Linked DNA regions of Lonchura striata. The protein of the gene in region 1 interacts with the protein of each later gene in a pairwise test. Links are inferred from orthologs where the notes say so. Each region holds a gene or a part of one and is shown in the gene's direction. Other genes may lie near its edges.

Region 1 (7,675 bases):
ACCAGAATCACTAGTTCAGAGAGGATGAATTTTTGTTGTATGTGCTGTGCTGGAGCATTAACTACCCTTCAGTGGCTTAGTGACCATATCAGACCTTACCTGGGAGATGCCACAGGGTCAGGATAGAGTGGAAAAGGACTGGCAGTTGGTCTGGGTTAGCATCTTAGAGAAGGAATACCAGCAGGAAAAATAAATGAGAGCTGTTCTTTCCTCCCCTGTTCCCTGAATTCTTGTTGTTTGATCCCTTGGAAGGGAACTGATGAGCAACTATGCTTTGTGCTGGCCTCTCTTTGAGACCATTTGTTACCTGTTTTCTTTTAATGTCTGAAATGTTAGATAATTTTTCCTATTTGGCTTGACCTCTTCCTTCCTGGGAGTGTACCTCCCCTTGTACTGGCTCTGTCTTCACACAGTGCTCTGTTAAAAGAAAGTCTAGCAGAAAACTAGAAGAAAGCTTGGGATTTGGAATCAGACGTGCCCTCAAACAGATGGTCTGAATCTCTGCAACATGTCCTGCTCCTCTCTGGAGGTGCTGTGAGGTATCAGATGTCAGTTGTACACTAGATGGTTCTGAAATAGCAGTGTTAGGGAAATTAGGGCAAACACTTCCATGAGATGGAAGCTACTCCACTGGTCACCTCTCCTACCTTTGTGCAGCCAGCCTTTTACCCAGCAGCAGTTTCTCATAAGCAGAGAGGTTATCTGTGGTTAGAATCTTGATTGCCCAGCAAATTGCTAAATGCCTGAGGAAGCAGGAGGAGAATGTGCAGCTTCAGGGTGTGTGGGTTTTTCAGTCTGGTTTACAGTGAGCACTGGAGGTTGAGTGTTTAAAATGCCTTGGGATCCTGACATCATTTGTTGCAGTATTAGACAGCTGCATTCTGTGCTGGGAAGCCACCCCAGCATTCTGGAATAGCCATGGGAGTTCAGTAAACTGCTTCAGAAACTTTGGACTATGAGACTGGCAAAGAGTGTCTATCCAGGCAGAGGCAGACCCAAACACTGTGTGAGGCAAGCGTGAAGATTACGTCCCTGTTGGGAGAGTGAAGGTACATGCTTTAGTTACAGACTATTTTCTTCAATTGCCCAATTCTCCTTCCCTCCCTCACCCCTGCAGTAAATGCTACCTTCCTCCTAAAGGACATGGGCCTGTATATATCATCAGTACACATGACTGAAACTTTGGTACCAGAGTCCTTTGTCCTTTATCCAGCTGCAAATCTGCTCAGCTCCATGTGATGCAGCAGCACAGGGATTTTCAGCTTTTGTTCTGCTGTTTACAAAGAGTGAAAAGATAAAAGGAAAAATGTTCATAAAACTAGAGTACAGTTATATAAAGAAGTGAACTGAAAACCTGCAGCAGGATCTATCCAAGATCTGACCTGGTCATCTGTCCAAAGAAGATGTTTACTTGCACCCCTTATGTGATGTGCTGTTCAGTTCTCTGTAAAGTAACAAAAATGGAAGAGACTTTGATTGTGATTTCTTACTGTGTGCAAAACATAGGTGGCCTTTGAGGTACCCCATTATTACTTTTCTGTAATAAAGAATCGATGATTCAAACTGTATGTGTGGGACACCCATGCAGAGTGCTCAGCTGCAGGATTGCATGTGACCAATGGGTTGGTTCATCCGTGCAAATTTTTGTGACGAGGGGACTCCCTTGGGTGATTGGCAGGGCTAAAACCCTGACATGTGAAAGAAGTTGGAAGAATAGTGGTTTCCCTGTGCTTTTGGATCTTGATCTCCAATTTAAAGTCTCTGGACTGCTTGCCTTTCTATTTCTTGGTGGCTGTTTGAATGGCACCTTTAGGTTAAAAATGTGTTTGTTTCTCAGTCTTGAAGATATTGATATAAGGGAAAATCTTGCACAATAGGATTGAAAAAAATTGGAGAAATTAAAGTGTGTAATAAATTAGGGCTGAGGGAATATAAAAACTTAAAATTAGTTTAGCACATCACTTGACAGATGGGAAGTAATTTATGTAAATTTAGGGAAGTGGTAGTTGGATTCAGTTGATCTAATTTAAACACTATTTCTAAGTATTTTTTGTATGTATACAGGGGATTATAGGATGGCCATTATTCTGACAGAAGGACTCTTCATGTTTAAATTTAAATCCATAAATGAGTACCCTATTAAAATGTAAACATGCTGTGATAACAAGCACCTGATTATGCAGACAGGTTAGTCCAGCTACTCTGGTGAACAGCTGTGTGCATGTATTTCAGATAATGCTTTTTCTTACACCCTAAGGACCACAGGCAGAGCCCTTGAGAGGTCAAGAGGTGTCTGTAAGGAGGCTTGCTGATGTTGAGTACAGATCTGAGAGCAGATGGGCTCTCACAGGTTTCCACTGAAAGCAGGCCCTGGTGGCACCCAAGGGCACAGGGAGAAGATGACACAATGAACAATTTCCCCTCCCTACACTCTGGTGCTACTAATCCAAGTTTAAACTCCTAACAGCATCTTTGGTGAACCTTCTCCTATAGATTTTGACAGCTCTCTCCTTTTGCCAAGAGAAGGATCATGTAGGTTTACTGGGGAGCTGCCAAATGACAGCTTGACTTCACACCTGAGAAGCAAATGAATGAGGAGAGAAGGAAAGCCTCAGCCCCTGCCTCCAGCCTGGCACAAACACAAAGAATCTTGGAAGCATGGGCCTGAGCAACCCCTGGAGCTGCAACAGCAGCAGCAGATGTGACACGAGCAGAATCCAAGCTGCAGCTGCAGTGGAGGAGGGAGCATGGGACCTGTTACCAAACTGCAAAAGCATTATTCATCAGCTGCACACCCTAGGGGTGGTGGAGGCCTGGCCATGGATGATTCGGAGGTGTGGGATAAGGCTTGGAGCTCTACACTGTACAGCAGCCTTCTTGAGTTGATTTGGCTGGCTTTCCTTCCTTGAGCCATTGCAGAAAAGACACTCTCTCAAGACATGCATTAACAATCAGCAGGGCAGCTGACAGCCATGATTCATTTTTAACTATCCCAAACCCAGTATTTTTGGATGTGTAACTCATGGTTTATAAACTCTGTGGGTAGAGGGCACCAAGAATGAGGATGCATGACACCTCTTTGCTCCTTGTGGGTTTAGGGCAGAATGCCAGACTGCTGTGGAGAGCTGCAGGCAGCCTGACTCCACGGGTGTTCAGGGACCCCATGGGTGTTTGGTGACAGCACAGGTGCTCATGAGCAGTCACCTCTCTCCTCCCACAAGCATCACGGTGAGGTGGCTCTGGCAGGGTATTCTTTGGTTCACAAGCCTTTTTGTGAGAGTAAGACTATTACAGCTACAAATTGCCCTTGGCTTTCTAACTGCTTGTAGAAAAGTAGTTGAAGTTGTGAATTTCAGACTACATTTTAAAATGGGAGAAAAATGCTTTGCATATGAGGGTTTTTTCACCAATATGGTGAACACTGTGCCTGACTCATCCTTCACATGGGAGAACTAAGCAAGCTTAGAAGAAATGACCCTCAGAGCAGGGATTTCTATATCATTTTTCTTTTAAGGGAAGAAATTTCCAAGGACTGGCCCCAAAGACTACAAGTTTGTTGCCTGACTCTCCCGCTCCCCAGGTGTTTGCAATCTGCAATTCTAGAAGTCCGGCATATCTAGCTGGATGCCTCTGCAGCAGCAAAGCCAGAGAACAACTGTTCTGTAGGAGCAGCCTGATGCCCAGGTCCTGCAGCGCTGGCTGTTCCCTGGCCAGCTCCCAAAGCATCTGTAAGGTGAGCGCTGGGAAGGCGTCAGGCTCTTGTACCAGCGCCCTGGGCTGCAGTACACAGGCAGCAGGAGCTTTGTGGAGCCTCACGGGAACACGAGGTGAGCAATCACAGCTGCAACTCATTTCAAAGGGACAAATGAGCTACCTGCAGCAAGCTGGGACGCTTCTGCCGAGAGGGCTGGTTGATTGTTTTTTTTTTTTTTGTGGGAGAAAGGTTCAGGTGGAGGAATTGAGTGGGAAAGTCTTGCACACTCCTCGAAGGGTGGGCATTTTCATCACAATTCTAGAGCGACTTCGCTGGGACATGAAGGACGTCAGCGTTAAAGGCAGGAACTGACCGAACAGACCTAATGGCCTCAGTGCAGGGCTTCTGCCACGAGGCTGCCCTTCCTCTGTTTCTGCTGACCCTTCGTTAAGTGCGTTTTTGGCAGGGCTGGAAAGCTGGGAGGTCACCCTTCCTCACGCCCCTGTAGAACAGCTTTTCGGAGCGGATCCGCGCAGAGGACACATTTTGTTGCGGGGATCACTAGAGCCGCCCGGGAGCAGGAGGGCCTGGCGCTCACACGGCACTCGGAGCCCCCCGGGGTATGGGCAGAGGTGGCCGCAGCCCCGTGCGCTGCAGGGCGCGCTGCCAGCAGGGGAGTGCAGGAAGGCGAGAGGGTTTCGAAGGGAGCCGGGCCCGCCGCAGGGCGCACCCCGCGCCCCCTGACCGCGGCACGGGGCCGCCGCGCGCCCCTCCCCTCCGCCTCTCCCGCCGGAAACGCCCCCCGCGCGCTGCCGGCACGGAAGTGGGCGCGCGGGGGGCCGCGCGGGGCGGCGCATGCGCAGGAGGCGGTGCGCGGCCGCGCCCCGCCCCCGCCGCGGTGGGGGTCTGGCGCGCGCTCCGTGCGCGCGGCGCGAGGCCGGGCCCGGGCGGCGGGCGCGGGGCGGGGGGCGCGCGGAGCGGAGCGGAGCGGAGGGGGCGAGGGACGCGCGGCGGGCGGGCGGGGAGAGAGAGGATGTGAAGATGGCGGAGCTGCAGATGCTGCTGGAGGAGGAGATCCCGGGGGGGCGCCGGGCCCTGTTCGACAGCTACACGAACCTGGAGCGGGTGGCCGAGTACTGCGAGACCAACTACATCCAGGTGCGCGCGGGCCGGGCCGGGCCGGGCGCGCCCTCACGGCCGCGCCCGCGGGGCTGCCCCGCTTGCCGGGCCCGCGGCGGCTGCTGCAGCCGGGCAGGGGGGGAAGCTGCCTCACCTCCAGCGTGAGCTACCCCGGCGTGACGAGGCGCTTAAATGTGTAATTGATTCCCGAACTGAATTGCTTCCACTTTGCGAGTGAATGTTTATTGCAGATCTTGTCTCTGTCCCCCCTTTTGGTTCCCTCCGCAAATTCTGATCTGCTTTGCTGCCGGCGCCGAGGTGATGTGATAAACACGGCTGACTCCTGCAAATACAGTGTCGATGCCTTGTAATTTAGAGCAGAATGACAGGCTTCAGTAGAGTTAAGTCTGTCCGTTTGTATTTCCCTTCTCAAGCAGGACTGTGGAATTCCATTGGAAGGGCAGCTACCAAGTGGTAGGTGCAGGATGGAAGGAAGCCTGATGTAGTAGAGCTGGTACAGAATTAGGGAGAAAGAGATGAAGCGCAAATTGCTACCGCATAGTGTGGTTTTTGCGGTGACTGCTCTAAAGCCAGGCTGGTGTTAGGACTCTGCTTTTTTCATTTCTCTTTCTAGTGGAAAGAAGGGCAAAATTCTCTGGGATTCTTTGATAGTGATAATAGGGCCAAATGAAAACTTTGCCCTCAAACACAAGAAGATACCCTAAGACATATCTGAGTGTGCAGTAGAGAAAGGTGGGGGGGAATGATGTGGATTTCTGGTGTCAGTGTTGAGAGAATTCCAAAGTGTCCCAGAATTGTTTTTGAATTCAGTCCCCGAAGGGCAGAGTGCTCGTGTGCTTCCAGAGGGCAGCTAGCGATGAGATCTGTGCTGAGACTGTTCTGTCAGTGAAAATGGGAGAGACTATTTAACCAGAGGCAGAGAATACCTAGAATGTCCCTCTAAAAAAGCTCTCACTGATTTTGTTGAACTGCTGAATGACCAGCTGTTCTTTAGAGAGAAGACTTTGCATATTTTGGGTCATTTACAAAACAGGTCAATTACAGTAGAATGCTATAGATGTATTTTATTATGTAATAACACTTCTGATCTTGAATTAGTGTGACTTAGGGTTTTTAAGAGACATGTTGAAATATTTACTTAGAGTTACAACCTGACATACCTGTATTTAAATTTCTGCTTTTTTGAGAAGTGATTTTTCTGGAATATGGGAGAGGAGCACTGGAAGGCAGAACCAGATAGGAAGAACTGCGTGTAGTTGGGTTTTTTCCTTTGACTTTTTTTTTCCTTTATTCTTTGTATAAATCAAAGTTTGTGAATCTCTATGGAACAGATCCACTTTTAATGTCTTAATGAATACTGCAGAAGAGGACTCCATGCTGTTTTGTGCAAATAGAGAAGGAAAAAAAGAAGGCTATTGCCCCAAACAGCGCAGTCCATAAGGACAGTCTAGGATCACAGGAGATGGATACAGACAGATGGTGAATGAAGGAAAAGAATGAGGCACTCTTGGTCAGCCTGATGGATTCTGACCACCACACAGCAATATCCTGACTGTTGGCAATTTATCCAAGCATCATGACAACAGAGAGCTTTAAGGGGGAAGTGAGAATTAAAGAATGAAATTGTGTTGTGAGCGTTGGCTGTGAGGTGCAGTATGGGTCACAGCATTAACATGCTTAAATTTTTAAGGAAGTGGGGAATGGAGCCATCGGCCAGGCAGAAGGCTCTGGTTTTTGGAATGCTCCAAGACATGAACAGGGTGGGTTTGTTGTGGAGAAGAGGTTCAGTGTGAGGGGATTTTGGATTTAGTGATGAGTGTCCTAGTAACAAATCTGTCAGTGAGCTTGCCCCACCTTCACAATCCCAGAGCTATGTAAACTGCTGCATCAGATCACTATAAAAAGCTGATTTTTTTTCTTCTCTGTGGGAGTGGAATAGATGAATGTGAATAACTATTGGTTAATTGGATATTTGTGGTTTTGCTTCTAATAATATTTATTATTCTAAAGTTGTTATGTCTGAAAGAAATCCAAATTATGTTCAAAATAGTGGCCTTGAGTTTTTAGGGGAAGATGGGTTTGTAAATGCTCTGAAATGCGTGGAAGAATAATCATTCAGAAAGTCACGTAATGAAGATGAACTAATTCTACTGTAATCCTGTAGTATTTCACTGCTGACAGAGGATTTGTTGTGGGTAATCTTGAGATCTAGGAGAGGCTCAGAACGTGACTGAGACCTGAAGTTTATTTGCAGGCTGGTAGGTGCTGTGCTGATGGGAACATTGAAGGCCCTGCACTGGTCTGTATTTTCTATTTCAGTAGCCAAACCACTCCCTTTCTGTGCCAATTGCTGCTTTGAAGTTTTATTGTGCCTGCAAAAACTGTTGCAAAAGCCAGTGAGGCCAGTGTAACAGAATTTGAAGTTCAGGTTTGAAGTGAATGGGTTTTTTCTCTTCCCCCACACCTAGCAACATAATTGCAGCTTCAAAATAATTAAAATGTAATCTCATACATGAGGAAATTGCTAGTTCATAGTAGTAGAGCTGTGGCAATTGCTACTCATTTGACTTCTGCTTATGAAATGAAAAACCTGTTCTTAAAAATTGTGTCAGTGTTTAACCAAATTATGATTGATGTGTAGCTCGATGACTTTAGCAACAGGGAATGTTACATAAAATGTTATCCTTCCCTTGAGTCTGTTATATGGTAGTGTATCAGAAAACATCAGCTTTAAATTTTGTGGAAAATTATAGGAAATACAGCAAATATATAATAAATGGACCTGCAGCAGTGAAAATAAAGACTGCTGTTTGGAGGAAAAAAAGTTTCTTCATGTCAAAA
Region 2 (7,296 bases), on another chromosome or scaffold:
GCAGCGATGTTCCCAGCTGTGTCCCTGCCCCTTCCCCACGCAGCGATGTGCCCAGCTGTGTCCCTGCCCCTTCCCCACGCAGCGATGTGCCCAGCTGTGTCCCTGCCCCTTCCCCAGGCAGCAATGTGCCCAGCTGTGTCCCTGTCCCTGCCCCTTCCCCACGAGGCAATGCTGCCCAGCTGTGTCCCTGCCCCTTCCCCAGGCAGCAATGTGCCCAGCTGTGTCCCTGCCCCTTCCCCACGAGGCAATGCTGCCCAGCTGTGTCCCTGCTGTTGGCCTGGGGAGGAGCCAGACCCATCTCTCCTGAGGCTTCACAGGGCCAGCAGGAATGGTTTGGGTGAGCAGGGACCTTACAGCTCATTCCGTTCCATGCCCCATCTTGGCAGGGACTCCTTCCCCAGCCTGGGCTGCTCCGAGCCCGGCCCCGCTGACGTCCTGCAGCTGGACCCTGTCTGTGCCCAGTCCGTGTCCCTGTCTGTGCCCAGTTCGTGTCCCTGTCTGTGCCCAGTCCGTGTCCCTGGGGTGCCCAGTCCATGTCCCCGGGGTGCCCAGTCCGTGTCCCCGGGGTGCCTGGTCTGTATCCTTGTCTGTGCCCAGTCTGTGTCCCTGTCTGTGCCCAGTCCATGTCCCCAGGGTGCCCAGTCTGTATCCTCGGAGTGCCCAGCTCACCCTCGGAGTACACATCCCATTGGGAGCTCACCTCTGGCAAAGTTCCAGCCGGCGATGTAGCAGGATTTCAGCTCCAAGACCCTGATGGAGGCGTCGGGCACGCAGCCCAGCTGGATGTAGTCACTGCACTCCACGGGCCGGTCCAGCTCCACCAGGGCGATGTCATTCCTGGCTGTGGCAGGCACGTAGTGCTGGTGCACCAGGAGCCTCTGGATGTGTCTCACCTCAGCCTCGGGGCCCGGCTGGCTCAGATCCGAAACCCCCATCACCACTTCCCACCTGGAGATGCCCCTGGGGAGCAGATGGACAGAGGGGTGACAGAGAGAAAGATGGACAGAGGGGTGACAGGGAGCAGATGGACAGAGGGGTGACAGGGAGCAGATGACAGAGGGGTGACAGGGAGCAGATGGACAGAGGGGTGACAGGGAGCAGATGACAGAGGGGTGACAGGGAGCAGATGGACAGAGGGGTGACAGAGAGAAAGATGGACAGAGGGGTGACAGGGAGCAGATGGACAGAGGGGTGACAGGGAGCAGAGCCACGGGCTGCAGCAGCCCAGCATTTCCCGGCCTTCTGCTTCCCAAGGCGGGCAGGGAAGTGGCACGTGGTGCTGTGAGCTGGGCACCTGCCCTGCCCCAGGGACATCTCTGTCCCTGCTGTTTCTTACCCGGCCCTGGCGAAGCAGTGTGCGACCGTGAGCACCCACTGGGAGCTGAGGAGGACACCCGAGCACATGTGCCACGTGCCGTTCTCCCAGGTGGCCTGGATGCTGACAATGCCGGGCCAGGCCCCTGGCTGGACACCCGTGCCAGCCACAACACGGGACAGGTCAGCAGCAGAAGTCACGGAGTCGTAGTCGAGAACTGAAGAGCTGTGGTCGGAAGCCAAGGGCCGGAGCCCGCAGGTGCCTCTGGAAGCACAGAGCCATCACTGCCCTGCTCGGGGACAGCAGGGACAGGGACCCCGAGGGGCTCCTCTGTGCCCAGGCTGTGCCAGGGAAGCCCCCGAGTGTCCCCGAGCCCCCCTGACCTGCAGGTGTCCCAGGTGGCCCACACGGGCCCGGCCAGGGCCAGCAGGACGAGCAGCCCCAGCAAAGCCATCGCTGCAGGTGGCAGAGGCGGAGCAGAACTGTCACCTCTGGTGCCACCCGCGGCCCTGGCAGTGCCCACGGTGCCACCAGGCTGGGCTGATGTCACAGACGGTCGGTTCCATGGGTCGGGGCAGCTCGGTGTCACAGAGTGGAATGTGGAATGGTCTGGGGGCAGCACCCAGAGCACCAGCATGGGGTCAGACCCGCCCGGCACCGGGCTGGGCATGAGCAGCTGGAGCAGCCCTGGGAGAAGGATTTGGGGGTGCTGGGGGTGAGAGCTCAGAGCCCTGGCAGGGCCTGGAGGGGCTCCAGGAGAGCTGCAGAGGGACTGGGGACAAGGATGGAGGGACAGGACCCAGGGAATGGCTCCCACTGCCAGAGGGCAGCCATGGATGGGAGATTGGGAATGAGGAATTCCTGGCTGGGCTGGGATTGCCAGAGCAGCTGGGGCTGCCCCTGGATCCCTGGCAGTGCCCAAGGCCAGGCTGGACACTGGGGCTGGAGCAGCCTGGGGCAGTGGGAGGTGTCCCTGCCCAAGGAATAATTCAGTAACCAGTAGAAGACAGAACGCTAATTAATGAAAGAGGTTTTAATGTCATTTAGAAGCAATGAACATTGATTTCTTTGTCGGCTCAGAATGCACAAACGGGTGACAAAGTTTTGTCCCGGGCTCTCTGTGGAGCCCCTGGGCAGGGACAGAGCAGGGCCGGGCTGACGGACGCTGGAGCAGCTCGAGTTCCGTTCCTCCCGGCGGCTCCGGGCGATTCCGGCCGCACCGGGAGCACCCCCGGCTCCCTCCCGCGGGGGACAGGGGGACCGGGCCCGGCTGAGGCGGCGCTGCCCGGGCTGGCTCGGACAGAGCCGAGGGCGCTGCGGCTGCTCCCCATCGTTACCGGGGGGTGTGGAGCGCCGGGATGCTCCTCCGGGCCGTCCCCAGAGGGGACACCCGCTTGGAGAGGGGCTGCAGGGGCTGGGGGGACCGCGGCCGCCGTGGGGACGGCACGGGAGGGGCCGCGACACCGCTCGGGCCTCTCCGGGACACCGCTCGGCCCGCTCCGGGACACCGCTCATTGCTCCGGGACACGCTCGGCCCGCTCCGGGACACCGCTCATCGCTCCGGGACACCGCTTATCGCTCCGGGACACCACTCAGCCCGCTCCGGGACACCGCTCATCGCTCCGGGACACCGCTCATCGCTCCGGGACACCGCTCATCGCTCCGGGACACCGCTCGGCCCGCTCCGGGACACCGCTCATTGCTCCGGGACACCGCTCGGCGCTCCGGGACACCGCTCGGTCCGCTCCGGGACACCGCTTATCGCTCCGGGACACCGCTCGGCGCTCCGGGACACCGCTCGGCGCTCCGGGACACCGCTCGGCCCGCTCCGCGCTCCCGGCGGAGACACCCTCGGGGTCACCTCCCTGCCGGGGCTCTGGCCCGCCCGCCGCGACCCCCGCGGATGGCGGGCACTGAGGGCGACACGGGAGGACACGGGGGGACACGGGGGGACACGAGGAACACGGGGGGACACGGGGGGACACGGGGGACACGGGGGGACACGGGGAACACGGGGGGGCACGGGGGGACACGGGGGGACACGGGGGGACACGGGGAACACGGGGGAACACGGGGGGACACGGGGGGACACGGGGAACACGGGGGGACACGGGGGGACACGGGGGGAAACGGGGGGAAACGGGGAGAACACAAGGGGACACAGGAGGACATGAGGGGACACAGGAGGACACGGGGGGCCACGGGAGGACACGGGGGGCCACGGGGCACTCCAGGGGACACGTGGGGCCACGGGGGGACACGAGGGGACACACGAAGGTACAGGGCCACCCGGCTGTCACCACTCTGCGGTGCGGGGCCGAAGGCCACGCCCCCACTCTGGCCACGCCCTCATTACTGACCACGCCCCTTGGGGACACGGCTGTCCATCGGCGCCCAGGCCACGCCCCGCGCCAACAGACCACGCCCCCGCCGCCAGGCCACGCCCCCAGGGCCCGGGCCACGCCCCCGCCACCCGGCCACGCCCCCAGGGCCCGGGCCACGCCCCCAGGTCCCGGTCACGCCCCCAGGGCCCGGGACACGCCCCCGCCGCGCGGGAGACCCCGCCCACACCCGAGCGGCGCGCGCACGGCTCCGCCCCGCCGTGTCCCCCCGTGTCCCCCGGTATCCCCCCGTGTCCCCCGTGTCCCTCCGTATTCTTCCCGTGTCACTCCGTGTCCCCCCGTGTCCCCCGGTATCCCCCCGTGTCCCCCGTGTCCCTCCGTATTCTTCCCGTGTCACTCCGTGTCCCCCCGTGTCCCCCGGTATCCCCCCGTGTCCCCCGTGTCCCTCCGTATTCTTCCCGTGTCCCCCCGTGTCCCCCCGTGTCCCCCGTGTCCTCCCGTGGGCCACGCCCACAAACCGCCTTACGAGGGGCGTGAACCGCCCCCGGTAACGGATCCGTTTGCCCCGCCCCCGCGGCGGCTTCCGGCGGAAGTGGCGGCGCGGCGGAACCGGCCGGAGGTGAGGGGGGCCCGGGCACCGGGGGTGAGGATGGCGGGTACCGGGGGTGAGGATGGCGGGTACCGGGGGGTGAGGGCTGCGGGTACCGGCGGTGAGGATGGCGGGTACCGGGGGTGAGGATGGCGGGTACCGGGGGTGAGGATGGCGGGTACCGGGGGGTGAGGATGGCGGGTACCGGGGGTGAGGATGGCGGGTACCGGGGGGTGAGGATGGCGGGTACCGGGCGTGAGGATGGCGGATACCGGGGGTGAGGATGGCGGATACCGGGGGTGAGGGCTGCGGGTACCGGGGGTGAGGGCTGCGGGTACCGGGGGTGAGGATGGCGGGTACCGGGGGTGAGGATGGCGGGTACCGGGGGGTGAGAATGGCGGGTACCGGGGGTGAGGATGGCGGGTACCGGGGGGTGAGAATGGCGGGTACCGGGCGGTGAGGATGGCGGGTACCGGGGGTGAGGATGGCGGGTACCGGGGGTGAGGATGGAGGGTACCGGGGGTGAGGATGGCGGGTACCGGGGGGTGAGAATGGCGGGTACCGGGGGTGAGGATGGCGGGTACCGGGGGGTGAGGGCTGAGGGTACCGGGGGTGAGGATGGCGGGTACCGGGGGGTGAGAATGGCGGGTACCGGGCGGTGAGGATGGCGGGTACCGGGAGTCCGGAGGGATCCGGGCGGGAGGCAGGATGGTCCCGGGGGGTGCCGGTGAGGGGCCCGGGTGGTGTCCGGGGGTCGCGGTGGCTCTGGTGGTCCCGAGGCGGTGACAGTGGAGGGCCCAGGGCGGTCCGGGAGGTGCCGGGGGTTGGAATGGTGTCCGGGGTCAGGATGAGGGATCAGGATGGGGGTCCTGCACGGGGGTCCAGAGGGGTGTCCCGGGGGTCCGGGTCATGTCCTGGCGGGCTCAGGATGGGGGTCTCGAGGGGGTCGGGATGGGAGCCCTGGGCTGGCCGGGATGTGGGTGCCGGGGGGTTCGGGGTGGTGTCTGTGGTGTTTGCTGCCCCTTTGGTGTCCTGGTGGGCCCAGGGCGATGCTCCTGCCCGTGCCAAAGGTGCCTTTTCTCCTTGCCCTGCTTCCCCCCCAGATCCCCCCGCCATGGAGAAGTTCGGGATGAACTTCGGGGGCGGCCCCAGCAGGAAGGAGCTGCTGGAGACCATCGAGACGCAGAAGCAGCAGCTCCTGCGCTTCCAGGCGCGCCTCAAGGACGTGGTCCAGGCCTACAAGAGCCTCCTGAAGGAGAAGGAGGCGCTGGAAGCCAGCCTGAAGGTGCTCTCCGTGTCCCACGACGGGGACCTCGCAGTGCCCCCGCCCGGGGCTGGGGACTCCCCGGACGACCGGAGCTCGGAGCACAGCGAGGACAGCGCGGGGACGGCCGCCGGCGCGGACGCCGCGGCCGGCCTGACCGGCGCCGGGGGGGACGAGGAGGACAAACCCGCGGGCGGCGCTTCCCAGAGAGCCGAGGAGCCGGGCGGCTCGGAGGGCGGCTCGCCGGGCGAGCCCGAGCGGCGCCTGCAGCAGCTGAAGGCGCAGCTGGCCACGCTGACGGGCGCGCTGGCCACGGTGACGCGGGAGAAGTCGCGCATGGAGGCGTCGTACCAGGCGGAGCGGCGGCAGATGAAGCAGGAGCTGGAGGAGGCGGCGGGGCGGGCGCGGGACGAGGCGGAGCGGCGGGACGCCGAGCTGCGGCGGCTGCGGGAGCAGCTGGCCGAGACCCGCGCCCGCCTGGCCGCGCAGCAGCGCGAGCGCGAGAGCGAGCAGGCCGACCACGGGCTGATGCTGCGCGAGCTGCAGGAGCTGCTGCGCGCCGAGCGCGCCGCGCGCCGCGCCGCCGAGCGAGCCCCGGGCCACGAGCAGCACGGCCGGCGGCTGAGCCACGAGCTGGAGGAGCTGCGCAGGGAGCTGCAGGACGCGCGCGAGGAGAGCGGGAGGGCGGACCCGCGGATCCGGGAGCTGCAGGAGGAGATGGCCGCCCTCAAGAACCACTTCCAGCTGCAGCTGGTGCAGGAGATGAAGAAGGTGATTGCTGCCTGGGAATGAGGGTGGTGCGCAGGAGCTGGGGCGAGGTTTGGGGCTGCGGGAGCCAAATCCCCTCTCCCAGTCTCTCGGAGTCCAAAGCGTCCCATCGCGGATTGATGGGATGATAATTCTGGGGAGCAGCTCTGTGTGGGATGTATCCAGGGAGTGGGGCTGGAGTCAAATTCCCCTTCCCAATCCTTCAGATTCCAGGAGGTTCAAAATAAATGGCACAGGGTGCCCAGAGTAACTGGGGCTGCCCCTGGATCCCTGGAATGCCCAAGGCCAGGCTGGACACTGGGGCTGGAGCAGCCTGGGGCAGTGGGAGGTGTCCCTGCATGGCAGTCGTGGAGAGGCTCTGGGGTCCCTTCCCACCCAACCCATTCCACGATTCTAAGCACAAACCCCTGAAAAGCCAGGACAGGGAGGTGTCCAGGCAGGGCTCCTGGGGTGGGGAGGGCCCCGTGTTGGTTCGGAGCACAGGAGGGGCCCCGTGTGACCCCAGGTGAGTCCCCACGTGTCCCCACGTGCCCTAACCCCGCCGTGTCCCCGCAGACAGCCCAGGCCGAGGAGCAGCTGCGGCAGCGCTCGCAGCAGGAGGAGCGGCGCGTGGCCGAGCTGGAGGCCCAGGTGTCCCAGGTGTCCGAGCTGCTGGGCACCTACGAGAAGGCCAAGCAGAGGGACCAGGGCACCATCCAGAGGCTCAAGGACCGCATCGTGCAGCTGGACCTGGAGAACAAGACCTTGGCCATCGCCGCCTCCAGCCGCTCCCTGGGCGAGGTCGCCGTGGAGGAGGCCACCCTGGACGTGGGCGCGCTCAAGGAGAAGATGGAGAAGCTGCAGAAGCTCCTGCAGGCGGCGGCCGGGAAGGGCCCGGCGGGGCCGGAGGCGGAGGAGCCGCGGGAGCCGGAGCAGCCCCCGGGCGGCGGGGACGGCAACGGGGACAAGGCCTCGGGCGGGCACTGCCAGCAGGAGCTGAGGCAGCTCAAGGAGGAGTTCGAGCGCTACAAGGTGAGGG
Region 3 (7,665 bases), on another chromosome or scaffold:
TTGAAAGGACTGTACTGTAGAGCTGTAGCCTTATGAAAACCATGACAGAGTAATTGGATCTGGCTTGCGTGCAAGGCAGCAAGAGAAATCAATAAAAGAAGAGGGAGGAAATGGGGAGGGGGACCTTTCACATTTTTGCAGTGAAATATCCCTTCATCTGACTGCCTGTAACTAACTTTTCATCATCCCTGATGTGATCTGTAGTTGAAGATTTCTCTGGGCTATAACCATAGTTGCTGGGGTGGGTGGTTTTATTTCTCTCATCTTTGCTGCTTGTGGGAGAAAATAAGACAAAGCAAAGCAAAACAAAACAAAACTTTGTAACTGCCCAGGCCTCTGTGTGCACCAGGATCCTTATCTAATGTCTGGACCTCACAGTCCCAGGGCAAACCTCACCCTGAGTGTGGTTTTTATTGTTCTGGTTTGTTTTCTTCCAGTTCAAAGGAAGGGTTGAGCCCCAAAAAGAGAAGTGTGTCCTTGGTCAGAAGTCTGTAAGTTCTCTGAGTCACACTTCACCAAAAGCCTCCAAAGTATAATCAAGTCAGTCATGTGGTCATCACTCAGTGACAGCTCCTTATCCTCTCTATCCACCTCTGTCCTCAGGGAGGTTAGAAAATGTGTTAATTAGAAGAATGATGAGGAGGGATTTATATAAAAAAAAAAAACAACAAAATCAAAACAGCACTTGTGGAGAGCACACCGACTAGAACAGAACTTACTGGCTGAAACAAAATTTCCAGATTCATGAAAAGGGAATAATTTTTTTTTTTTTGTCTTTGAATTATGTGGTGCCCTTCATGCCATTAATATGACATTGTGGTGAAATGAGTAACTATTGATACTCATTATACTCATCATATATTGATAGCATTGGTTCTCCAGTGGCACAATCCCACCTCATTGGCAGCAGCTGGTTTATACAGAATCATGGAATCACAGAACAGTTTGGCTTGGAAGGGACCTTAGAGATCCCCCAGTTCCAGCCTCCAAATTCCTCCCCAAATATTCTGTGTTCTTTAAGAGAGATCAAGGTTCTCCTTCTGTGGTGTCAAATTTAGGCTCAAAAAACCCAAACCAACCCAAAATTCCATTACTTCAGAGCCTCATCTCAGGGGCTGGCAGGTCAAGGCTTCAGTCCAGTGTGTGGTGGGAAAGAGGAGGAGTCTTGCAAATAGGTGGATTGGAGTGGAGCAGTGATTCTATCACCAAATTGTGGCTCAGCAGCAGCAGACAGCCCAAATTACAGAAATCCTGATTCCTTTATGCCACCTTTCCTGTTAATTGTTCACCTTTAGTCATGGTCTTGACTTTTCCCTTCCACAGAAGCATTAACAGAAAATCTAGGCCACCATCACCAAGATTTAATTCTTCCATCTATGCAGAGACTTCAATCTTCATAAACTGCATTTTTAGGCAACCAGCATTACTGGCTATTGAGGGCAGCAAAGTTAATCTTACTGAATACAGACTTTTCTAAATGAGGGTGACCTGAAATAGCTCAATAGTATCCATAAGCTATAGAGGGGGATAAAGCTGGGATATACCAAAGGAATAAAGGTAGGAACAACCTGAGGATGAGTGGTGATGATATTTTGGCCTTCCAAAACCAAGCTGAAAATACTCCCTGAGTGCAAGAGAGGATGTTTCTTTGGAAACAGACACATTGAACTATTCCTTTAGATTACACCACTCACAGAAATGACGCAGCTTTACATTACATTCTTATTGAGAAACATCCAGAAAAGTCCAGCTGACTTACTCATGGCACATTTTTCCAAGCCCCAAATGCTAAATGTAGTCTCTAACAGCAGATTTGACCCCAGCCATGCTCCAATAATTAGTCTATAGCGTGATCTTTATTAATAAAAGTTAATTGAAACCAAAACTCATCCCTCGGGACTTCCAATCAATGAACACACATGCACACACAAAAAGCCACACTAAAGAGCACTGGAAAATGCAGCTTCACAAAGAAAGAAACAATGGAAAGAAAAGCCCTCACTAAAAATAGTGCTGGTCTTTTTGTGCCTGGGCAGGAAATGTCGGCACCACCAATTCCAGCACTGAATAACGCTTTGTCTTTGGGAACGTTATTCAGCAGGAGGCAAAAGTAAATCAACAGCCAATTCTGCTGAGGAAAGTAAACATTTGCAGATGGGAAAATTGAGGCAAAATGGTATTAAGGGACTTGCTCAAAGTGAAGAAAAAGAAGTCCTTCTTGATTGCTGGTCATCTGTTCTGCTGGGACAAAAAGTCCTCAGCTGGAAAGGCCAAATGTCACTGTCCAGAGCAAGAGCTTATTATATGTAAACCAAATAAATGAAAATGGAATTTTCCCAAAGAGGTGTATGGCTTTGTTCCTCAGATGTATTTGAAGACGCAGTTCTTGGTCAGCATTCTGAGGACCTTCTTGCTGAGCTTTTTGCTGCAAATCCAGCTTTTTCTTCACTTTCCTTTGCGTATGACTTTGCTTGGCATCTCTCTTTCACAGGATCGAGAAAAAACAAGAAATAATCTCAGTTTTAATTACAATTACTTTAGATGAGGAGACAGATGGTACTTGCAGGCCTATGGAGTGATCCCAGCACTATCACGAGTTCTGTGCTTAAAGATCTGACTTCATCTGGGAAAGTTTGTTCTTGATCTGACTGAAAAAGTCAAACACATACAAATTGTCCTCTTCAGCTTCAATATTGCACATTATTCCACTGTTTTTATGCAGAAAAGCTTTTCTGCAGTGAAGGGACTGATCTGGCAATGCAGAGAATGTTCCTGGTCTGTCCATCAGTGCACATGCTCAACTATGAATATGAGAAATATCTCATTATCTGGCAGACCTGAGGTGGTCTGAGCAAAGCAAGGAATTGTGAAACCTTAAAAATTATTTTTTCTCAATAATCGCTGGCCACCATGTATTGTAAATCCTCATTTTGATGTTGTTTTTCTAGGGAATTAAGTAATTCCTTATGTGCCAATGTTGATGCTTTTGTCCCTCACCAAAACTTTTGAACTCTTTTAGATACACAAAGGCATAGAGGTCTTAAATAAATTAATTTCCTGTGAATTTTGGGAAAATAAATAGAAGAGGGGCAGCAGGCCAGCACGTCTGCAGTGCGTGCACAACTTCTGAGCTCAGAACATTTACTGGCATTATGGAATTGCTCACATTATTCCACGAGCAGTTTATCAGAATATGAGTACCCCAATCATCAGGGAAATTTTGCATTCTATGTTTTAAGAGTTTATATTTTATTAAAACTTTAGACACTGGAGAAGCCAAGCTCATAGAAATGTCTTGGGGTTTTTTTAAACATGTTTGATGTCCTGCATGGTTTTGAGTTGCCTTTAATTAAATTTTTGGTTCTTTTTATAGCCAAGTGAAGTTTCTGGCAGAATTTTTTTTTTCTCATGAAGTCTTACAATAGTTTATCTATTCAGTCTTCTGGCAAGATTTACATTTATTTTACTTTGCTGATCACAGGGTAAACATGCAAGAAATTAAATAGTCATCATATAATTTAGTCCTGTCTGTGAAAACCTAACAAAAGAGCCTTTTCCTACAACAGAAATGAGACTGACTGTCCTGTTGTAATAGCTTGAAATGCATTGGAGATAATGCGTTTAAAGAATAAGAAAGATATGTTCTAGTAAGCAGTGATAGCTCTAAAGTATTTCAAGAGCTGGGTTCAAAGTCCCTTGAAAGAATAACAGTCTTTCTGCTGACATTACTAATATTTGGATCAGGCTCATTAATGTATTGCAGATATTATATCCCCAGCTGCCAAAAAGCGGGGAAAAAAAAGGAGAATGTAGTCATAAAAATAGACATAAAATACATTTTTCTTGTGGGAATTAATATAGAAGCGAAATATTGCTGCTACCACTACTCTCCGGGGCTTTATTACAGATATTTCTTTACTTTTTTAAAAGGAATTAACAGGGCAAGCTGTTCATCCCATCCAGAACTCTGCCTCCAGCAAGGGCCATCGTCTAATGCCACAGAGCCTGGCAAAGGCTCGGATTGCTGCAATAGTTTTCACTCCGGCGCTGTAAATCAGTCCTTTCCGGGATGTGCTGTGCTGATGGAGAGGAGCAAGGGTGGGAGGAAAAATAGAAATATCCAGGCAAGACTTTCCCCATCTTTGGCGTGTCTTGGATTAATTACAGATCGATACTTGGTATTCGCCGGCTTTCATAGCTCATTAGCATCACACGGTGCCCGGGTGTAAATTTGTTACAGAGCTTGCCAAGAATCCGGGGGTGTCTGGAAGCAAATGTTCACTCGGTCTGTAAATGAGACACAACTGAGCTGACCAGTTTGAACTCTGGGTGGACAAATCATGTTCGGGATCTTTACCTGTGGCTCTCCAAGAGCCCCGCGAACCCATGGGTGCGTGTGGGCATGTGCATGTTCGTGTCAGAGAGGGAGAGGACGAGGAGAGGGATGGCGAGTGCCGCTCCTGGGTGCAGCTGAGAAGGCGGCACAATCCGGAACCAGGCGCTTATTTTATTCCAGCTCTTGGGATCATTCTCAGGTCGCCCACCTGCCTGCGCACAGAGACAGCGTTAGTAAGGGAATAATAATAACGTGAGAACGCCCCGGCAGCCCCCAGCCCTGACTCTGGGGAGCCCCGCTCTGTCTCTTTAAGGAACCCAGCGAGTCGTGATGCTGCTGTTTGTATTGCCGAATCCCCAGGAGTGCAGTTAAGAAACGGGCAGCTGTCTCTTTAAGTGTGATTTCCTTCTATTGTATTTGAATCGTGATCAGGAAAAAGGAAATGAAACCAGAGAGCCGGGGCTGAGCCACGGAGTAATAATAATCCAGGGGATGCGGCTGCCGCCGCTCGCAGCGCTGCCGCCCGGGCGCGGAGCGTGTGCGGAGCTGCCCGCGCGGAGCCGCTGAGCGCCGGGCGCGGAGCCGCGGTGGCGGCCGCGGCCGCCGCCCCCCGCCCGCCGCGGGAGCGGCCCCGCCGGCCGGGGCGCGGGGGGAGCGCGGCGGGGATGGGAGGTCAGCGCCGGGGTGGGACGTGCGGGGCCGGGGTGGGGGGGGCTGTGCGGGGCCGGAGCGCAGCCCCAGCCCCTGTGTGTCTCTCTCTGTCTCGGTGCTGCAGGAGGAAATCCTGTGAATGTCATCGCGGGGCGGCGGGGCAGCGCGGCTGGCGACAAGGCTCCGCGAGCAGACAGCCTCTGCGGGGGCGGCGGGGGCAGAGCCCACCACCGGCACGCCACAAAGGAACCGGCCCTGCCAATGTCATCGGCCATCGAGAGGAAAAGCCTCGATCCTTCCGAGTAAGTGCGCGCTTCTTCTGCCCGGTCCCCCGCTCGCCATCGTCCCCGCTCGCCTCCCGGTGCCACCCGTCCTCCCCGACGGAGCCGCCGCCGGCATTGTGCGCCTGGCAGCCCCGGAGGGCTTCGGCGGCAGCCCCCGCAGCTCCGACCCCCTTCCCCTGCACAGGACACCGGGCTGCCCCGGCCCCGCAGGGCTGACGGCGTGGGGAAGCTTGCGGAGAGCCTCCCAAGTTGAGGGAAGAGCAGCCGGGAGAAGAGAGGCGCAATTCCCCCCGGGCAGGGCATCTCCCACTCCCTCATCCCACCGCGGAGTGGTGGGGATGCTCGGCGAGAGAGGGAGCGTCCCGCTTCCCAAGCTTTCAGGTTTTCCATCCCGAGGGGCCCTCTCTGCCCCATCCCCGATCTGCCCGAGTCGCTGCAGACGATCAGTGAAAGGTCAGGGCTGTTAGCTGCGGGTGCCCAACTTCCACGTTTTCGTAATGCAACTTCCAAAAGCTCGTAGAAAGCTTTGGTGGGGGCTGGGTGCATGCTAAGAGCATGTAGACAGACTTGATGGACGGGATGTAGGAGATGAGAATTTCCCTCTCTGGGCTTCCCACTCAGGGAAGGGACCGGCTTCCGTGTCCAGATCCAGGCTTTCTCCCGGGGGGTGCTCCCGCTGTCCCGTCCCTGCTGCACACCCAGGGATGGTAACTCGGCACAGACCCAGGGCCACTTCAGCCCTGAACGTGCTAATTTACTGCACTGAGGCTTGTCCGGGATCGCGGTAAGAGAGAAGAAAAAAGAAATAAATTATAAAATCTCCGTTTCTAGATAACGCTTAAAACATCGCTCTCAGTAAATTGAGTCATACGTGGTTTGTTTCCTGTCAGATACTAAAAATGCCATTGCTTGGAGCCCGGAACGAGCACATGGGAACCGCTGCTTTTGGGGATTACATCACTTCATTCCATGATGTTTTACATGTTACATTTTCTTTTATGCTGTTTTTTAAGAAACTCTAATCTCAGCTCCTAATGATGTCCAGCTTTCATCTACAAAGTTTTTTTTTTAATCCTTATTTATTTACCTGCCTTGTGTTCTGGTGGCTTAAGTGCTGGCTTAGAAATCCATGGACATCAAAAGCCTAATGAGTTAACCAGGAATGCTGTTCTGCATAAACATCCGTTGGGCTGTTCCTGAGCTTAGGGCTCTCAGTGAAACCTGGCTTGAGATTCCCAAACACCCCTCAGATGAAACATTTTGGGGTACACTTCAAAGTTTCAGATAACAGAAAATGAAGGATAATGATGTGTGCTTCCTTCTACTGGAAAGCTCTCAGAAGTTCTCAGCATGGAGCCCACGTGTTAGGAAAGGGAGTATGTGGCCCAAAAGAATAAATTTGGGAAAAAATAGGGCCTAATAATGAGTTCCCCATGATTTTAATGAAAACTCACAGGATGGTGAGCTGGCAGGAGAGAGGTGTTACGACATAGCTTGCAGGGCACAGCAGTTTAAACTTAGAAGGGAGAAACCAGACAGAATAGAACCAGATAATATCTCAGAGCTCAGCTTGCCTAAATAAAACTCCAGGATCACTTTCTCAGCCGAGAAGTTTTTGACCAGAGGTCGTTTCTCCCTGCTGAAGAAAGTAATTTTTGCCCAGAAAACTGCTGATCCAGTAAATAAGCAGGAGTAATACAATTTTTTTCCTGTTGCCTGCTGGAAACAGGGAGCAGAGCTTCTTCATCAGTGTAGGTCTCCTCTGCCCCCAGCAGCCCACAGGAGGACAGACAAATGACAGAAGCAAATTGCTCAGGGACTCTGTGCTGGAGCACTAATCCAATAATATGAAAAAATTTGGGGTCCACTCTACTAGCTAAAGGTTTGAAATTAAGCAAATGCTTAAGGGATGGATCCAGTAGATTTTTTAAATTTACTTTTCTGGCATTTGGGTGAAGCCCAAAACAATACAAAACTGAGTTCAGGCACTGTTCTTTTAATTTTTTTTGCTGTTGTGAAATTACCCCAAAAGACACAGAAGTCTTTAAGAAAGTGGCTTTGAAGAAAATTCTCACTTCTTTAACCAGAATTATCCTAGATCTCCAAGCTTTTTAGAAAAAGGAACAAAATAAGGTGCATAAAGAGTCAGTGCTAATATCACAATAAAGATTTGTGTCTTCTTTCACTCATGGATGTGTAAATCCCAGATAATTGAAGTATGTTGGCACAGACCCATCCCAGGGGATTCATGTCCTTGGCTAAGGGAAAAAAGAAGTCCTGCAGCAACATGAGGTAAAATGCTGGCTTTATTAAAATCAGCAGCGAGACTTAAACCAGTTGGGCAACAGAATCAGCTGTTGTGTTTATTAATTTCGTGCTGTTCTGAGAAGTGAC
Region 4 (7,453 bases), on another chromosome or scaffold:
AGAGAGCAGTTTGTGACCTATATCATTAATTAGCAATGAAATAGTTCTCAGCTTGGGCTAGCAGCAAGATTTTCTTTTAAATATTTTAGTTTCTTGGTTCCAGCTGTCCAGTTGGTCTTTGTTTCCTGCACTTCAGTTTGTATTGAGCAGCACCTCAGCTAAAACTGTGGTTGTAAAATATTCTACAATAGTGGTGCTTCAAATAACTTAGTCAAAAATTTGTATATCTTAACATTGAACTATTTTTGCAGTAAATTAATTTGCTTTTGGAAACAAAAGTGATCCTACAGTGTCTTCTTCTGCATACATTATTAATGGCAATTCCATTTTTAATTTAATGAAAAATTATGCAAGGAGCAAGGGAGGAAGGCTTGCAGCATCCTTGGTCTTTTTCTGCATAGATAACCTCAAGCAATCAAAGAGGTTATATTTAAAATCCTCTCTTGGTTGGCACTTCTATCTTCTTAAATAGAATAGTATTTAAACTCAGAGAAACTATCAGAGGTGGAAAGAAAGTACTGGCAGAGGTGAGAAGTGGTAAAGAATTGCATAATACTGTTCCTGAAGTGGTTGAAATTTCTGTTAGGAGAGAATTGTCTGAAATAGGAGTTGCTGTTGCAGCTTCCCAAAATTTATTTATGTATTAGAAAGCTGAATCATTATGTAATCAAATTATCCATGTTAGTTCTATCAACTTGAAGTTAAACAAATTGGTCATGGGTTCGGCCATGTCATAGAGCAGCTTTCCAGGTTGGAGATTTGTTTTGAATTTGATTCTGAGCCACCCCCTGATATTCCAAGGATTAAGAGAAAATGTTTCCAAGCCAATTCCTACTTTAACAGCAAATTAGAGCTTGCAGTTAGGGATACCTCTCTGCTCTGTTCTCCTAATTGGAAAAGAAAAAAACAACAAAGCACCATTTGAGTCACTTGTTATTCAAGCCCTAACTGGAGGAAAAACAAAGCTGACTGGAGAGAGATCTTGTCTGTATTGGAAAAATTATCCATTACTGTAAAAATTTACCTCCAGCAGAAAGAACCCAGCGCATGTGCAGGAAACCTGTGAGGTTACATCAAACCATAGGAGTTTTGAGCCTGGTTCTCCAAGAGACATCATTAAAGACCTTTTTAAATGTGACACTTGGACATGCCCAGTGGTGTTCCTAATAACTGGTGAATTCTAGTTAGCTGTGAAACAAAATCCTTATTACTGTTTAGCTGTACAGTCCTTGAGCCCTGGCCTTGGAAAAAGGCTTTGCTGCACTGAAAAATGTACAGATAAAGAGTGAGAGAGGCTCTGGCCTTGGCAGGTTTGTAGCTGGAGTGCAGGAGAACAGGTAGCCCTGGATGAGGAGAGAGAAGCTGGCAGGAGGAGCTGGAGGTGGGATCTCAGCATGGAAACACAAAGCAGCAGCAGGGCACAATCCTCTGCCATGCCTCAACTCCTGGCTGTGCAGGGAGTGCATGTGCTCAGTCTCTCTGCACTGAAATGCACCTTCTTTCTACTTGTCATAAGTTCCAGGTAGCTGGAGCTGTAGTAAATACATTTCTCTAATTTTTCCCCATAGCTATTTCTACTCCTCTAAGCAGGGTAGTAGACCTTAAGCTGTAGCAGATGCTGTGTGGACAGTGTCTGTTGTGCTTTTATGCTTTATCATTTTCTGAAGTGACAGCTTTGGTTTTGCTTTGATTCTGTTTCATTCAGCTTGGATTGAACACTGTTCACCAGGAACTGTGGAACCGAGTTTTAGTCTCATTCCTTTAAGCAGAAGTTTATCTTCTATCTGTGGTCACCTTAGGGTGCAGTATTTTATTGTAGTACACCCTGGTGGAGAATTTCCACAGAGTTTCTTACCTTGTGTTTTTATTCTGTTGGTGCTTTGGGGCCTTGGACCACTGGGGACCTCTGCCCTGGCTCTGTCCCCATCACTTCATGCAAATCCTTCACTTCTCAGCATGCTTCTGTTTTATCCTGTTTTGGAATTTGAATTTACTTCCCCACTCAAGTTAGAGGTAAATCCACCAGCTGAGGTATAAAATCCCTGGGATGATCCACCCAGTATCCCTTTGTCTCTGTCACTGGGAGCTGCAGGTCCAGGGGCAGGAAGGGTGTTTAAACAGCTTCTGCAGCCCAGGAGCCACTGATGCAAAATGAGAACAGCTTTTTTTCCTCAATGGACATGTTGTTTCCTATTAAGTTCTTCTATCTTTAGGTTGTCCCATTCCTGCATGTCTGTTTTGGTGAAACAAAGAAAAATTAGCATTGGGAAAGAGGGATTTGGAAAGGATCATTAAGCTTTCTAGGCACAGAACGGGTATAACCTGTTTGACTTTGCTCAGCTTTGCCAAGCTTGAATCTTCCCTGTCTCCTGTAAGTGCTGAGCTCATGCTTGGCCTGGCTGTGTCCTTAGCCATCAGGGCTGATGAACGGAGTTATTGTCACTCGGTTGTACAGCATTTAGCAAGCAGTGCTGATCCAACCATTACAGACTAAAAAAGAACAGTTGTAGAGAATGTTCTGTATAATTTGGGGCTGTGCAGCCTCTTCTGTTGAATTTAAACAAAATGGTGGTGTTTTGGAAGTCTTTTTGTCTTTCTGAACTTGGTGTTTTGCTGAGTCCCAAGAGCATACAGAATTTCACACTCCTCCCTCCCCCAAATCTTCACCTACACTGATAACCCTCAGCATCCTACTGTGTTGAAAGGAGCTATGTGCAAAACCTTTAGATTCTACATGGAGTTTCCATGGGCTGTGACCAGCCAATAGCTAGTATTGCTACAAATTCTAGCTTGTACCTTTGAGCTTCAGGCAGGAGTAGCAGTGATAACAATACAGAAATTATTGGGCTGTTTCACAGAAGTGAGAAGAGCTCTGCATTCTGTACTGATACAGAAAGATTAAAATGACTTGATGACGGTCACACAACAAGCTGATGGCCAAACGAGGGTCGTCCATCATCCAGGCTTTCTTCTTATTTGCTAGGCCAGGCCTCAGTGTGTCGGATGGAGAGCTCATCATCCTCACTGCTGCATTGGTGGTCTGGTGAAGGATTTCAGTCTTTTAATGGGATCTGAAAGTTGGGTTGTAATAATTATTTCTCATTTCTGATTTGATGTATGAACTAGAAATTTTAATAGCAGTTTTTACACAGCTCGTTTTCAAACAGGGAAATAAATTAAGGCTTACACGTTTCCTCTGGGAATGCAGTAAATATTACTTTGTTTTCCAAAAGGAGGAAGCAGAACAGCAAACATATTAACGTGATATATCCAAGGTTAACCACTTTGCAGAACTGGGAATAACTCCTGCTCATATAATCCTTACCTGGTCACCTGTTTGAGTGTTATTTAGGGGTTAAACCATGCAGAGCAGGTGAAAACATCCCTACGTGTATCCGAGGGACTAGGATGGAGGTGCTCAGGACAAGAGATGCCTTCTCCTGCAGCCGGGAAAGGGTTACAGCTGAAATGCCTGTAGCAGCCTCAGGAAAACATGAATCGGTGCTGCTGAGGGAGGGCAAGATGGAGCCCAGACCCGCCAGCTGCCTTGTGCTTTTCCTTTATGAACAGCCCTTTTTGGGGGGGCTAAACCCGGGGCTCGGGAGCATCGCGGCGGGGCTGGCGCGGGAGCAGCCGCTGCCGCTTCCTTCCCCCGGCAGCTCCACGCCGCTGCTGCCGCGGCTCCGTGTGCGCCTGGTGTGCTCCGTGCTGGGTGTGCTCCGTGCTGGGTGTGCTCCGTGCTGGGTGTGCTCCCTGCTCGCTGTGTGTGCTCTGCTCTATGCTGGGTGTGCTCCCTGCTCGCTGTGTGTGCTCCCTGCTCGCTGTGTGTGCTCTGCTCTATGCTGGGTGTGCTCCCTGCTCGCTGTGTGTGTTCCCTGCTCGCTGTGTGTGCTCCTTGCTCGCTGTGTGTGCTCCTTGCTCGCTGTGTGTGCTCTGCTCCGTGCTGTGTGTGCTCTGCTCTATGCTGGGTGTGCTCTGCTCCGTGCTCTGTGTGCCCTGCTCTGTGCTGCGCGCTCCGTGCTCGCTGTGCGTGCTCCGCTCTGTGCTGGGTGTGCTCTGTGCTCCGCTCCGTGCTGTGTGTGCTCCGCTCTGTGCTGTGTGTGTGCTCCGCTCTGTGCTGTGTGTGTGCTCTGCTCCGTGCTGTGTGTGCTCCGCTCTGTGCTGTGTGTGCTCCGCTCTGTGCTGGGTGTGCTCTGTGCTCCGCTCCGTGCTGGGTGTGCTCTGCTCCGTGCTGGGTGTGTGTGCTCCGCTCTGTGCTGTGTGTGTGCTCTGCTCCGTGCTGGGTGTGCTCCGCTCCGTGCTGTGTGTGTGTGCTCTGCTCCGTGCTGGGTGTGCTCTGTGCTCTCCCTGCGCTCTCCCTGCGCTGCGCGCTCCCTGCTCGCTGGGTGCCGTATACGCAACATGGAGGGAGGGACCGGCGGCGCCGCCTGCCCCGGCCGCCGCTCGGCCGCGGGCACCGCCGGAGCTGGAGCCGGAGCTGGGAGCGGCCTCGATGGATCGCGCAGGTCAGTGCCAGCCGCACCCTCAGGACGCTCCTCCGGGACGAGCCTCCCTTATTTTAACCCTCATCAATGGCGTGCTGAGACCGTATCTCCGAGAGATGTCATTATTTCACACTTGGTCAGAGCCGGCGATGCCTAATAAAAATGTACAGCGGGATTAAGGAAGGCAAGCGTGGCGTTTCCACCCAGCAAATGCAAGTTCATTTTAATATTTGCTGTATTTTTTAACCCATGTAAATGACTGTGTGTCTTAAGTGGTTGAGCGTTTGAATGGAGAAAGGTTAATTGTCTGCTTCAGCCACATTACACTGTGTAGCTCCCAGCAGCATACAAAAAGCAGACAAAGTCTAATTCTGCATCCTATCCTTTTTATGACAGCAGTCCTTGAGGCATTTACGGGTAAAGTGTGTAGAATGCGATTATCAGCATGACAGAAAATGCTTTTTTTTATTAAAAAATGTACTATATCCTGTGCATAGCAGAGAGGAGCACACAGTATGTACTTTGTGTGAAAGCAGCAATAGTCACAGGGGCTCTTTGCTGAGCGTATTTTTTTTTCCTTTCTAATGGATAACGAAGAGCTGTTGATGGGATATGGGTTTGGGAGCAGTAGTTCTGGAGGGCCAGGTTATCTTGAGTATGTTGTTAAAATTCTTGTGGAATGAGGCAGTGCTGATTATCTTCAGGGCAAATCATCTCCTTCACCCTGGACTCTGGTTTGTGCTGTGTCTGATAGGAAGTATGCCTAGTGCTGCTGCAGTTCAGTTGGGATTTTCTACTTCAGGGCTGAGAGTGAATAAATATTTACTGGTGAGGTAAAAAGGAGGGAGATGTGGACCCGGTATTATTTAAAATTTGCTGTTACTGCCTACCTGGGTTACAGATCAAGGTGGATTTACCACACCAGAAGTTATTTATGAACCAAGGTGCCAGAAGCTGGAGATGCAGGTTCTTATTTCACTGTTTAAGACATTATCAACAAAGTCTTGGTAATTTATGCTGACTCCTCCTAATTCACTTACACTGCCAGAAACCAAAGTAGAGTAGCTTACATCAGTACTGCAAAATTTCTTTGAATTTGTCTGTGTTTTCTTTCTTCCTTGAAATATTTATCCTTAGGAAAGCTGCTGCTGGATATCTGCTCATTATTTGACTTGGGCACTGTGAGAAAGGTAGTTGGAAAATTTTGCTTCCACTTACTTGGAAACAAAACTGTATTTAAAAAGTGACTGTGTCTAGTATGCTAATGCTGAAGGCTTTGCACTCCCCGGCTTCCTTTGTTATGGAAAAAGCAGAAAATGCAATATATTGGCAATATGTTGTTACCCAAGGATAGAGCCACAGGCTTACAGGAGGGAATTTTGTAAATCAGAACTACAGGATTTGTGTTTGGTGTGAATTCCTTTGGGAATGAGCTGTGAGAAGCTGGCAGTGTCAGTATGTGCAGTATGAGGTTTCTGGCTGAAGTCAGTTTAGCAGTGGTTTGATAAAATCTATGCAGTTTTCCTCCAAATGGATCTTGTCATCCATGAAGTCTGCAGATTAAATAGGTTTTAGTTCTGGCAGTGACATCCCCTTTTTTTTTGTCACTTCTGCAGAGAGTCCAGAGTATGGCAGAGCTAAGGATGAGCTTATTATGGTTGCCTCTCTGAATGCAGATCTCTTGTTCATGTCCTACCTTTCAGCACAGAGATAAAATTGGTATTGTTTTTTGGAAGCAAAGCTTGCATTTAACAGGATTATAGGAGTATTTTTAACTTCCTGCTCTCACTCCAATGCTCCTGATGGATGCTTGGAGTGCGGGGAGTTTGCTGGTTATTGATGTCGAAGTGAATGTGCTGTGCCGATGCAGATTTCCTTGAGGAAAAACGCCCTTTTCCGAGTGGCACATCGGAGGGCTGTAGAGTCCTTGCCCTACTCGTAACAGTGGCTTTGGGACTGGAGGGGAGAGGGACAGAAAGCAGCAGTGCTGAGCTGGTGCCAGGGCAGTGGTTGGGAGGACAGGGGCAGAGCCATGGATGTTCCCGGGGTGGGGAGTATCTTGGAGCCAGGCTGGGGGGTTGATGTTCGGACCTGGTGCTCGGCACGGCACAGCCTGGGGTGACTTGGGTGTCACAGCATGTCCCCTGCTCATGGCTGAGCTGTCTGTCCTCCTGACCTCTGCGTGCCCTCCAGCTCCAGCACACAGCTTTCCCAGGCTCCGGTCCCCCGGGATGCTTTCCATGGAAAAAATCCCACATCTTTTCTTATTGCAAGGAGGGGACAATTTTATCAGTCCATTAGTGAGCACGTCCTTGGCTCCCCCAGGTCTTTTTGCAACAACCAGTGTAACAATGTCCTGTGTGACATACCCTCAGTATTTATATCAAAAATACAGAAATAATCATTTAATTCCGCTTTGTCAAGCTTTTTGGTTTAATCTTCCTTTGTGTTGAACTGTATTTCTCCTTAGCATTTGATACTTTGTGACGACTTCATGCTCTGGTGCCAGGGACCACAGTTTAATCTTTTGATATTCTGCTCCTGATAGTTGTCATTAAAGAGCATTAAATCCTTAGTTTTCACTTATGTTGAAAAAAAGAAATGTTATTTCCAGGTTCCATTCAGTTATCAGCCAGAAGAAAAGCAGAAAAAACTTCACAGAATCCTTGGGGAAAAGGAGAGATAATGTGAGTTTGAAACTGTGAATGTGATGGACAAAAAGCAGGAGAACTGGGATGGGATTTGAGCTTCCCAGTTCTGAGCCTCAAGACCAAAGCAGGCAGCTCGTTAGCTGTTGAGTCAGAGCAGGGTAGACTCCTGTGTTTTTTCATGTAAAAGTAAAAAATAGGCAGATGTACAACTTCTGTGTGTTTTTTTTTTCAGTTGGGAATAGTGACAGGATGCAGTGGCAGGGGCTTCGAAGGAGTGGGCATTTCTAGAATTCCATTCGGCTCCTTAGGATGGAATGG

The links.
Region 2: the proteins of ABI2 (region 1) and GCC1 interact in binary tests that used the Homo sapiens proteins (3 or more experiments, as listed by UniProt). The link is inferred for Lonchura striata from reciprocal best matches to the Homo sapiens genes ABI2 and GCC1.
Region 3: the proteins of ABI2 (region 1) and LMO2 interact in binary tests that used the Homo sapiens proteins (3 or more experiments, as listed by UniProt). The link is inferred for Lonchura striata from reciprocal best matches to the Homo sapiens genes ABI2 and LMO2.
Region 4: the proteins of ABI2 (region 1) and ARHGAP32 interact in binary tests that used the Homo sapiens proteins (3 or more experiments, as listed by UniProt). The link is inferred for Lonchura striata from reciprocal best matches to the Homo sapiens genes ABI2 and ARHGAP32.

Annotation. Positions count from the first base shown.
Region 1 is NC_134610.1:24,751,706-24,759,380, forward strand, and holds the start of ABI2 (abl interactor 2), read left to right. Parts: upstream 1-4,663; 5' UTR 4,664-4,735; coding exon 4,736-4,852; intron 4,853-7,675. UniProt on the Homo sapiens protein: Regulator of actin cytoskeleton dynamics underlying cell motility and adhesion. Functions as a component of the WAVE complex, which activates actin nucleating machinery Arp2/3 to drive lamellipodia formation.
Region 2 is NC_134607.1:72,892,620-72,899,915, reverse strand, and holds the start of GCC1 (GRIP and coiled-coil domain-containing protein 1), read left to right. Parts: upstream 1-4,294; 5' UTR 4,295-4,306; coding exon 4,307-4,322; intron 4,323-5,349; coding exon 5,350-6,281; intron 6,282-6,833; coding exon 6,834-7,296. Other genes in the region: acrosin, read right to left, coding at 683-960, 1,337-1,579, 1,699-1,769. UniProt on the Homo sapiens protein: Probably involved in maintaining Golgi structure.
Region 3 is NC_134608.1:54,470,417-54,478,081, forward strand, and holds the start of LMO2 (rhombotin-2), read left to right. Parts: upstream 1-4,659; 5' UTR 4,660-4,666; coding exon 4,667-4,703; intron 4,704-4,942; exon of another isoform or gene 4,943-5,001; coding exon of another isoform or gene 5,002-5,008; intron 5,009-5,111; coding exon 5,112-5,289; intron 5,290-7,665. UniProt on the Homo sapiens protein: Acts with TAL1/SCL to regulate red blood cell development. Also acts with LDB1 to maintain erythroid precursors in an immature state.
Region 4 is NC_134625.1:1,488,536-1,495,988, forward strand, and holds the start of ARHGAP32 (rho GTPase-activating protein 32), read left to right. Parts: upstream 1-4,453; 5' UTR 4,454-4,646; coding exon 4,647-4,696; intron 4,697-5,545; exon of another isoform or gene 5,546-5,674; intron 5,675-7,453. UniProt on the Homo sapiens protein: GTPase-activating protein (GAP) promoting GTP hydrolysis on RHOA, CDC42 and RAC1 small GTPases. May be involved in the differentiation of neuronal cells during the formation of neurite extensions.